2 linked regions of the Macaca fascicularis genome follow. Each later gene encodes a partner of the first gene's protein in a complex. Links are inferred from orthologs where the notes say so. Each region holds a gene or a part of one and is shown on either strand. Other genes may lie near its edges.

Region 1 (4,666 bases):
GACTGTGAGCAAGTATTCTCAATTCAGGCCACTGCTCATCTCTCCCTCCTGGAGAAGGATAAAAATTAATTTTCTTTCTATGTAGTTACCAGACTAATGCTTGGTTGTCTTCTTGTTATTCTGACTCCAGGTTTAATTTTCCCCTAAATTCTATTGTCCCTACTTACTTATAACTGTGAAACAAAGATATTATTGTGCTTGACCCCTTACCTTCCTCTGAGTCGTTGGCGATGGCCTCCAGGTTATTATCAGTGATGGACTGGCTTAAACTCAACCGTCTCTTCTTCAGAACCTTCCCATTGGTTGATACTACCACCATGCTCTGCTTGAAGGTCAGCTTGGATGTTTTAGAGATTTCAGAGATACTCAGGGACACAGACTGATCCATGCAGCCTTCATGGAGTGGGCCATAGCTTACATCATAGAAGGATTTCTAGAGGAAGGAAAACAGAAACTGAGAGGCTGTTCGTGGTCAGGGAATGAAAGTCCTTTCAGTAGTGCTGTATTCAACAGATGTAGTGAGGAGGATCTCCATTCTGGTCTTAGGTAACTCATGTTTCATTAGGCTTCCCTCCCTCTCTCCCTTTTGTCTCACCTTCCTTTCTCCTTCCAAGGTAAAAAGATGATTTTTTTAGGAAGACTTTTTCATATATTTGCATGCTCAAAAATGAGATGCTGTAACTAAATAGGTTAACAATGATTGTAGTGAGTGGTAGCTTTCCAATTACTTCCCTCTCAGGAGGCTAAAAATCTACTTAACAATGCTCAAAATATTTTAGAAATACTCCTTTGGGGACAGCTTTTAAAGCCAGTACCAAAGACATACCAGGCAGTACTTATACTGTCTATTTGTGGTCTCCAAACACAATGACACAGCTTGGTGAGTGGCTGTAGATTTCTCACTTTCAATTGGCTTGCTTCCTCTCCCCCAGCTTCATGTTTGGAGACTTTCTCTAACCTCTGATGCTGGTGTCAGAGAGGGCAACCACAACACATCATGTTAGGAGACAGACCCCTGGTGAAGCGGTCTGCGGGGCCTGTCTCAGGATGGCATAACTAACATCCTGATGAAGCCTGCCCCAGGAGACTCCAGTTCTCAGGGATTTGGGATAATTCTGCTCTGTTCTGGGAGAAGCCAATGCACATCAACTTTATAAGGCAGCTGGTCTCTCTTACAATGAAAGACAGGTCTCTGGACGTCTAGTGAGGGTAAAACAAAAGCATTTAAGATTCAAGTCATTGCTGTTCTCTTTTGATGAAGAAACTACTGTGTAAGAATAGCAGCCCCATGAGAATTACAGTCATTTGCTTACCTGATTCAGAGACAGATGGTCAATGGAGGAACTGTCTTCTTCATTTTCACTGCCAAATAAGACGATGAGAATGTAATTGTTTGTTATTTCACTTTGGTCTCTGGCCAACGTGTTTTAATGACCACGGTAGTTGTGGGTCACACACATACACACGGCCATTACTGTCATCTTTGAAATTTAAGGACTTCTACACATACACATAGGTAGAGTAATTCATACCTTACTAATATGGAATTAGTAGTCATCAAGAGAGGCTTTGAGCTTTACCTGTGCTTTATCTATAAAAATTAGACCTGGCTAACAAATTAAAGAGCTTTAATTGAAGTTCAGGGAAGAATGTTAAGCTCCTTAAGAGAAAAGAAAGGTTTTGAAGCACTTCATTTTTATTTTAACCAAATAGATTATATGTTACACATTGCTTTCATGTATTCACTAAAACAGATTTCATAATTTATACTTAGTAAAATATCCAGGCAAAATTTTGACAGCCTAGTTTGCATTAGTATTGACTACTGATAATGGAAACATCATGTTAGTTTAATTTGTTCTGTAATTTTATCTTTGTGTTCATTTACCTTTCTTCTACATATGAGTGAGATTTGCCTGCGTATCTGCGTTCACATGCCCAGCTTGCTGTGGAGTCATTTCCTATTCCTGAAGGAGACCAAGTTTTCCTGAGAATGGACCAGTAAAACCCATTCTTATATCAGGGTATGTGATCTCAACAGAGGCTGTGTCTGAGTTGATGCTGAAATTCATGTAGGACTCAGCAGACCTCAGAAATAACTTTTCTAAAATGGCGGTCTCCCTGCCAATGTAATCTCAGTTTAACATGCTGAATGCTTAGTCTTTCTGGGTCTTCTCTGAACCTGCTCTGACTTCAGAACTAGTACACATTCCTCCAGCCTCTGCCGGCCTGGCCCCATGCTGGTCACTGTTACGCCTAGCTGGATTCTGGTGAGCCTTGAAACCTTCATTAAATCACAAGAGATAAATCTTATTCCTTACCTGTAACAGTTCTTCAGGTCTTCAAACATGTCCGGAACTTTGGCCATCTTGACTTCTGCAACAGAGAACACCAGCCACAGTCAGCTCAGCCAGCCTCTAACCCGGATACCTGTGAGGGGAACCCCTCCTCTTTGTGCTTCTTGAAAACTTTGTTGAATGACTTAGTCCACATTCAGCATTTTCTCCATCTGCTAGCTCCTTTAAATTAGTTTGCTATGTACCTGTCTCCTTTATTAGATCGTAAACTTCTTTTAGAATGTTTTATTTATATTGTTATTCCTTATGTGCCCAACCTAATGTATTGCACAGAACAGGCATTCAATCAATGAAAGTTTGAAGAGGTTACAGAAACACCACAAGAATAAGGTGTTTCCCTTACACAGAGGTAAGGGAGAGACAGACTTGGAAATGTTCAATTTTCTCCCAATAATTTTGGGTAGTAGAGATTCCCTCCCATGAGAAGCCTCAGTTGTATTCACCCCATGCCCTCACAGGAAGCTAATTCTGCCATCTCTCAGTAAAACGAATCGGTCCTTATCAGAAAAATGAGAGAATAATTTTCTAAAATCTGACTGTAATTCTAGGTCACATACCAAACCGGGGAGGGACAAGAAAAGAAAGGAGAGGCTGTAGCTTTAGAGAAGGCAATGTGAGAGAAAACAGCCAAAGAGAAAAACAACAACAGAAAATACTTTAATAGCCAGAGATGTGAGGACAATACCTTTGCTGACTCAAACGCCAATGAAATGACTCCCTCTCTGGCTGGCAGCTTAAGCCTGAGTCAGTCTTCTTCGCCTTTTGTAATTGTCTTAAGTAGGCGTGGCTACAAGTACGTCGTCAAAACGGGGAATTTACAGGGAAGAATTCAGTTTTGTATTTTTCTACGTTCATTCAACTTGATACTGGCTAAAATAATGAAAGATGGCATAGCTGATATTATTGTTGTTTGCAGATATTCCAGAAGTTATTGACTTGGTTCCTTTATTCACTGCTTTGCTTTATAAGATGACAAATGTGTAGTCTTAGAAAAAGGGAAGTGCAGGAAACTTATCAAGTTTCTAGGAGGAAGGGAGAAATCCTGAAATCAGAAGCCAAGGGGCTAGATTTGGAGAGGAATTCATGAATAATAATAGTTCTAATAGTAGCTGGAGTTGTGTTCCGGCTGAATCTGTTGGTCGTGCTCCAGGTTGAATGTGAATTGGCAGAATACTTGGCAGCTTCTGGCAACTTTTGAGGGAAAATGAGCCATCTTTTCTGAAGAGGGAAGTTTGTTTGATTAAGGCATAAATCACTTCAGAGTATGGGGTGACAAGCTCCCGGTTAGGTCAGGGTAGAGAAGAGAAAAGTGATATTTGACCACAAAGAAGTCTTGACCCTCTTACTCCTCTGAATATTGTCAACACATTTCCTAGAGAGGGGACAGAGCTTCGGGACAGAACTCTCCACCCTGACCCTGTTACAGTAAAGTAGCCCTCTACCGAGGACCCGAGGACCCGAGAGAAGCCTGGTCTTCTGTAGGATACGCCCAAGGTGTGTCTTCTGTAGAAGAAGGTGTGTGAAAGCCCCTAGAGGTATGCCTAAGGCCTCAGCCAGAAGCCAGTGGCTAAGTTTGGGAGTGGAGATTGGGAGAAAGGAAGGCATGGATTTTTACATCTGAGACTTCAATGGTGTTGCCTGGTTACTATTATTAAAGAATTTCTCAGCTTTTATAATTCCCGTGGCCAGCCTAGTTCAGGTGGCAGAACACCAGACTCTTAGCAAATGGATGTTCCCAGGTGGAGTTTAAACCATAAATATTTTAAATAAAGGAAATGAACTAGGTGTGGTGGCATGCCCCTGTAGTGCCAGCTGTTCAGGAGGCTGAGGCAGGACGATCACTTGAGGCTCAGAGTTCGAGTCCAGTGTGGGCAACGTAGTGAAGCCCCCATCTCTAAAAAAACAAACAAACAAACAAACAAACAAAGGAAATGGATGGAAGAACAAGGTAGAAGAGGGAGAGAAAAAAAAAAGAGGCAAGGCACTAAAACATGGTATAGAAAAGCAAAAAAGTATGGATCTGGGAGGAAAGCGGCTTGTGTGAGTTGGATAAAGTATTCCCTCTGTTCCTGTTTAATTATAAATAATAGGATTGGTTAGATGTCATAAGGTCTATTTCAGGTGCAAAATCTCTTATTCTGATTTAATGCCAGTCTAATTCTCCTGGTCATGTACCTGGTGCTATAATAGTTATAACAAGAGCCGCAGAAATAACCACACTTGGATGTAAGCAATGTAAGTGTAGCACCAGACTAGGGTAGAAGCTTGGGTGTCTAAGGATAAATCCTGAAGGAACAGTGATGTCAGCC
Region 2 (4,591 bases), on another chromosome or scaffold:
GAGGATCAGTTGAGGCCTGGAGTTTGAGACCAGCTTGGGAAACATAGAGAGACCCCATCCCTACAAGTAACTTAAAAATTAGGCCAGGCACGGTGGCTCACACCTGTAATCCCAGCACTTTGAGAGGCTGAGGTGGGCGGATCACCTGAGGTCAGGAGTTCGAAACCAGCCTGGCCAACATAGTGAAACCCTGTCTCTACTAAAAATATAAAAATTATCTGGGCATGGTGGCGGTTGCCTGTAATCCCAGCTACTCATAAGGCTGAGGCAACAGAACCACTTGAACCCAGGAGGCAGAGGTTGCAGTGAGCCGAGATCGCACCACTGCACTCCAGCCTCGATGACAGAGTGAGACTGTCTCAAAAAAAGAAAACATTAGCCAGGCAATGTGGCATGTGCCTGTGGTCCCACCTACTTGTGAGGCTGGGGCAGGAGGATTGCCTGAGCCTGGAAGGTCAAGGATGCAGTGAGCTGTGATCGCACAGTGGCTTGGGCAACAGAGTGAGACACTGTCTCAAAAAAAATAAAATCTGAGAAGTTGGAAGTTGTAGGGGATTTTGCAGATGAAAGACCATGAGTTTCAGAGACTCACTGTGTTCAAGGAGTCCATATTCACACACTTCAATGTGCCTGTGGATTTTCAGAAAAGACGTAAAACAAACTGTCAACAGCCTGGAATGACCAGGCCTCTTCGAGCCCAGAGTCAATGAAATTTAAGACCTGACTCCAGCCTGTGAGTGGGAGAGAAGGAATGACTCTGTCTTACACCCTAGTAAGGGGATGCCCATAGCGAGTGGGGAGTCTTCACAGATGCATCCCACAGACCCCCTACACTGACATCTATGACTCCATGAATTTGGCTGTGTTTTCATTTTTGATAAGCCTCTTTCCATTGCTAGGCCTCAGTTTCTATATATGTGAAGTGAGGAACACGGACTGTGTTTTCTCTTGGCCTCCTTCCAGCTGTGACAGTCTGTGAATCTCGTGGAAGCCAGCTCTGGGTCCAGTTCTGTCTTGGGGAAATTAGACCAGAAAGGCACAGAACATACACAAGAACCCAACAGCATCTTCTAATACAAACCCATACTTCCACTGGCACATAGTATCTTTGCTTATCTAATTATATGCATACACACACAAACACACACACATACACACCAGGCAAGAAAACCAATCCCAGCACTTTGGGAGGCCAAGGCAGGTGGATCACCTGAGGTCAGGAGTTCGAGACCAGCCTGGCCAACCTGGTGAAACCCTGTCTCTACTAAAAATACAGAAATTGGCTGGGTGTGGTGGCACACACCTGTAAGCCCAGCTACTCAGGAGGCTGAGGCAGGATAATCACTTGAACCCTGGAGATGGAGGTTGCAGTGAGCCAAGATCGCAACACTGCACTCCAGCCTGGGCAACAGAGTGAGACTCTGTCTCAAAAAAAATAATAAATAAAACCTGCAACCATTTATACATGCAGCTACCCACATCCTTTCTTGTGGTCACATTATCATACTCGGCACCATCACGTCCTAAACACAGTGTCCCATAATCACCGTCTCACAAAATCTCAGTACCAGACCTCTGCCTACCTCGAGCAGATGGGGCAACTGCTGGGTAACCAGCTCCTTGAACTCGTTGATGCTGAGGCTATCCTTCCGGCCCTCCTGCCTAGCAAAGGTGAAGAAGGTGGTGACCACGGTCTCAATGGACTCCTCTAGCTCTGTCAGTGGTTCTGCTGCCATTAGGACCCTGAGGCCAAAGCTGATGTCCTCAAGGGGCTAGCTGACCTTTGTCAGGGCTGACCTGTGGAACAGAGGAGGAGCAGAGAGGGAGAGTCATGGAGCCCCAAGATGCAGGAATGGTTCAGAAGGCCCCTGCCTTGGTGTTACCGCATCAGGTCTTGGCCTGGAGAGGGCATTATAGGGAAAGAGGGAGAGGACAGGGGTTGAGCTTGGGGCAGCAGACCAGACAACAGCATCTCAGTTTAGGTGGGGGCAGAAGATTCGGCTCCAGAAACCCCCTCTTCTGTAGGTCTCACAATCTGGGCTCCTTTTTAAATGTCTGTGGCTTAGGGACCCGTCTGTGGTGATGCCTCGATCTAGAGACCTCTCTACTTGAGAGGAGGTTTTCAGTTAAGGGTCCTTCCTGGAGTCCTTCGAGTCTGGTGGCCCCTCTGTGGCCTGTCTGTCTCAAGAGTCCCTTCTTGTCTCACCCAGCCTCACAGGTCACAAGGTTGTTTGTCTCCAAAGCTTGTTTATGTTGGGACCTGGTCTTCAGCCACCCGCATCCGCCCACACACACTCTGACCGCTTCTCCCAGCAGAGAAGCACAGGGTCTGGCAAATGTCCCCTGTGGTCAGAGCTGGCTCCGTCTGAACAGACCGATTTTCTCTGCCGGGATCCACCCTTACCTCTCTCCTCAGGGCAGCAGGGCAGAGTGCTGAACCCAGGACCCCACAGATCCTCCCCGCTCCTGTCTCCCCATCGGGAGATAAGGGTCCTGGAACGGGGTGTCTCTGACTCCCTGCCCCACGACGGGTTTAGTACAGGCACTCACAGCCCCCTGGGGTGCGGTGGGTGGGGCTGGAAGAGGCATTCTCTTTTCCGTCCCCCCGTCACGCACTCCGGCATGCACTGTTGCTCGATCATCCAAAGCTGCTTCCTGAATTCCTGTCTGAGCCGGCTCTGGGGGAGGGACCTGGGAGCCCAGGAAGAAAAAATGATCTCCAGGCTCCCTCCAGGGTCGGCAATGAGACTTACCGGGCAAGGAGATGGGGTGGAGTGAGCTGGAGTCTCAAGGCTGAGGTTTATAAGCAGCAGGGAAGGAGACAGCTGCTTACAAGCCCGGAGGTGTCAAATTTCCGTGGTGGATTCTGAAGACCAGAGACAGCCCAATCAGGCCTCTTGCCCTGAACCCTCAGGCCTGGACCCGGGCTCCCTGCCAGCCACACGAGCGCCCCCACTTGGTCAGGGAGAGGAGCTGTCTGGACAGATTTCATTCAGCAGGGGTCCCAGGGTCCTAGTCCTTTCAATACTGGGGGCTGCTGCCACCACACCCCACGTCTAATCAGGAGTGTGTATGCTGAGGGGGGAAGAGGGAGGAAACCAATTGAGGGAGCTCAACACTGAGAGGCCCAATCTGAGACATACACGGAGGCCCCTTAGAATGAAACCCCACAAAGGATGCTACAGCCCAAGATCCCTCAGAGAACCCCAGGCTGAGGCCCCACACACACAGGGGGATCCAGGTTGAGACCCCCATAGAAGAGTCCTGGATTGAAATCCCTCTGTGGGTTCTCAGACTCCCAAGACTAAGTTACTCACTGAGGGTCCTCTCAGTGAGGCCCCATGGAGGAGCCACAGACTAAGACCCCCTCAGCAGAATTCCCCCCTTACCCGGGTCAACCAGCACAGTCAGCTGCAGGTACTGCAAGGCCCGGCTTGGGGTGAGACAACCAGTATCCCTCCCAGGACCTCCTTCCCACCTCTTTCCCCTGCACCATCCACTGCTGCCTAAAGAGCAGGGAACGGGGCAAGCAAGGCTGGGAAAGAGACAAGGGCCGCCTGTTCCAGCCCAGGAGACAGAGGGCGCCTCTGTCTGCTCCTGGCCCCTTGCCCCACAGGGTGTTCGTCTGTGAAGGGGTGGAGTCGGTGGGGGGGTCAGCGGGGGAGGGACTGTTGAAGACAGGTCTCCACACACAGCTCCAGCAGCCACATTTGCAGCCTCGGCTATCTGTCCAGAACCTGCTCCCACCTCAGGCCCAGGCCGACGGTGAGTACCCTGCCCCACCGGGCTAGTCCCTGGCCTGCCAGCTTCGGGGAGAGGGGTCTTCAGAAGGGCTCCAAGAGGCTGGGGCCCATAGCACTGTGGGGCACTAAGGATCTGGGAGGAGTCAGTCAGAGTGAGGGCAGTTTGGGATTTGGGGGAGACAGGGTTTGGAAGGTGGTGATGAGAGACAAATGAACTGAAGGTCGGAGAGAGAGCTGGCAGCTCAGCAAAGGAGGAAGTCAGTGGGGAACCCACCAAGAGCTTCCTGGCCACCTGGCCCTCCCACAGGGAGCCCTCAAGTCCCTGCCAAGGCCCCCTCTGTCTCCCAGGTGTTGGGAAGGGCCCCAGCCCTCCCCTGCCTCGCCTCCTGTGGGGTAAGAAGAGAGCAGATACAACAGCTGTTTCTGCCCCCACCTCTCTTGCCAGCCTTAGTCTCTGCCACCCCCACCCTGCCTTGCCAAGAGCTCAGGTCTCTGGGGAGTCTGGGGGTGGCAAGGCGAAGCTCCCAAGATATGGGGAAGTGGGGGATGGAGGGTGCTGTACCCCTTCCCAACGCTACCTCCACAGGACCTCCCCTTTCTCCTCCTCCCCTTTTTGGCCCAGACCTCTTGACTCCTCTTTCCCCCAATTCTTTCCTCTTTGTTTTCCCATCTGCCCTGCCCCCAAGTCCTCTCAGAACTGCCACCACATAAAATCCCAGGCTGCTCTAGGGCTCCAGGCGACCTCCAGCTGCCCCTCTGGCATGGAGCAGGTAATCAAGCCACCAGCATCCCTCCCTCAAGCACCCCTTATCCCCTCATCAGCCACAGCTTGGGTTCCATCTCCCCCA

What was found.
Region 2: the proteins of IL1A (region 1) and S100A13 are in contact, whole or in part, in an NMR structure (PDB 2L5X), measured with the Homo sapiens proteins. The link is inferred for Macaca fascicularis from reciprocal best matches to the Homo sapiens genes IL1A and S100A13. Residues at the interface, in NP_000566.3 of Homo sapiens: Asn148, Gln150, Tyr151, Thr194, Ala195, Gln196, Asp197, Leu203, Leu204, Lys205, Glu206, Met207, Gly216, Ser217, Glu218, Thr219, Asn220, His239; in NP_001019381.1 of Homo sapiens: Met1, Arg25, Gln26, Glu27, Gly28, Arg29, Lys30, Asp31, Ser34, Asp68, Ser69, Glu70, Lys72, Phe73.

Annotation. Positions count from the first base shown.
Region 1 is NC_088387.1:19,783,885-19,788,550, forward strand, and holds the start of IL1A (interleukin-1 alpha), read right to left. Parts: upstream 3,094-4,666; 5' UTR 3,043-3,093; intron 2,377-3,042; 5' UTR 2,369-2,376; coding exon 2,322-2,368; intron 1,363-2,321; coding exon 1,314-1,362; intron 434-1,313; coding exon 211-433; intron 1-210. UniProt on the Homo sapiens protein: Cytokine constitutively present intracellularly in nearly all resting non-hematopoietic cells that plays an important role in inflammation and bridges the innate and adaptive immune systems.
Region 2 is NC_088375.1:107,540,092-107,544,682, reverse strand, and holds the start of S100A13 (protein S100-A13), read right to left. Parts: upstream 2,887-4,591; 5' UTR 2,754-2,886; exon of another isoform or gene 2,405-2,753; intron 1,798-2,404; 5' UTR 1,737-1,797; coding exon 1,584-1,736; intron 1-1,583. UniProt on the Homo sapiens protein: Plays a role in the export of proteins that lack a signal peptide and are secreted by an alternative pathway. Binds two calcium ions per subunit. Binds one copper ion. Binding of one copper ion does not interfere with calcium binding.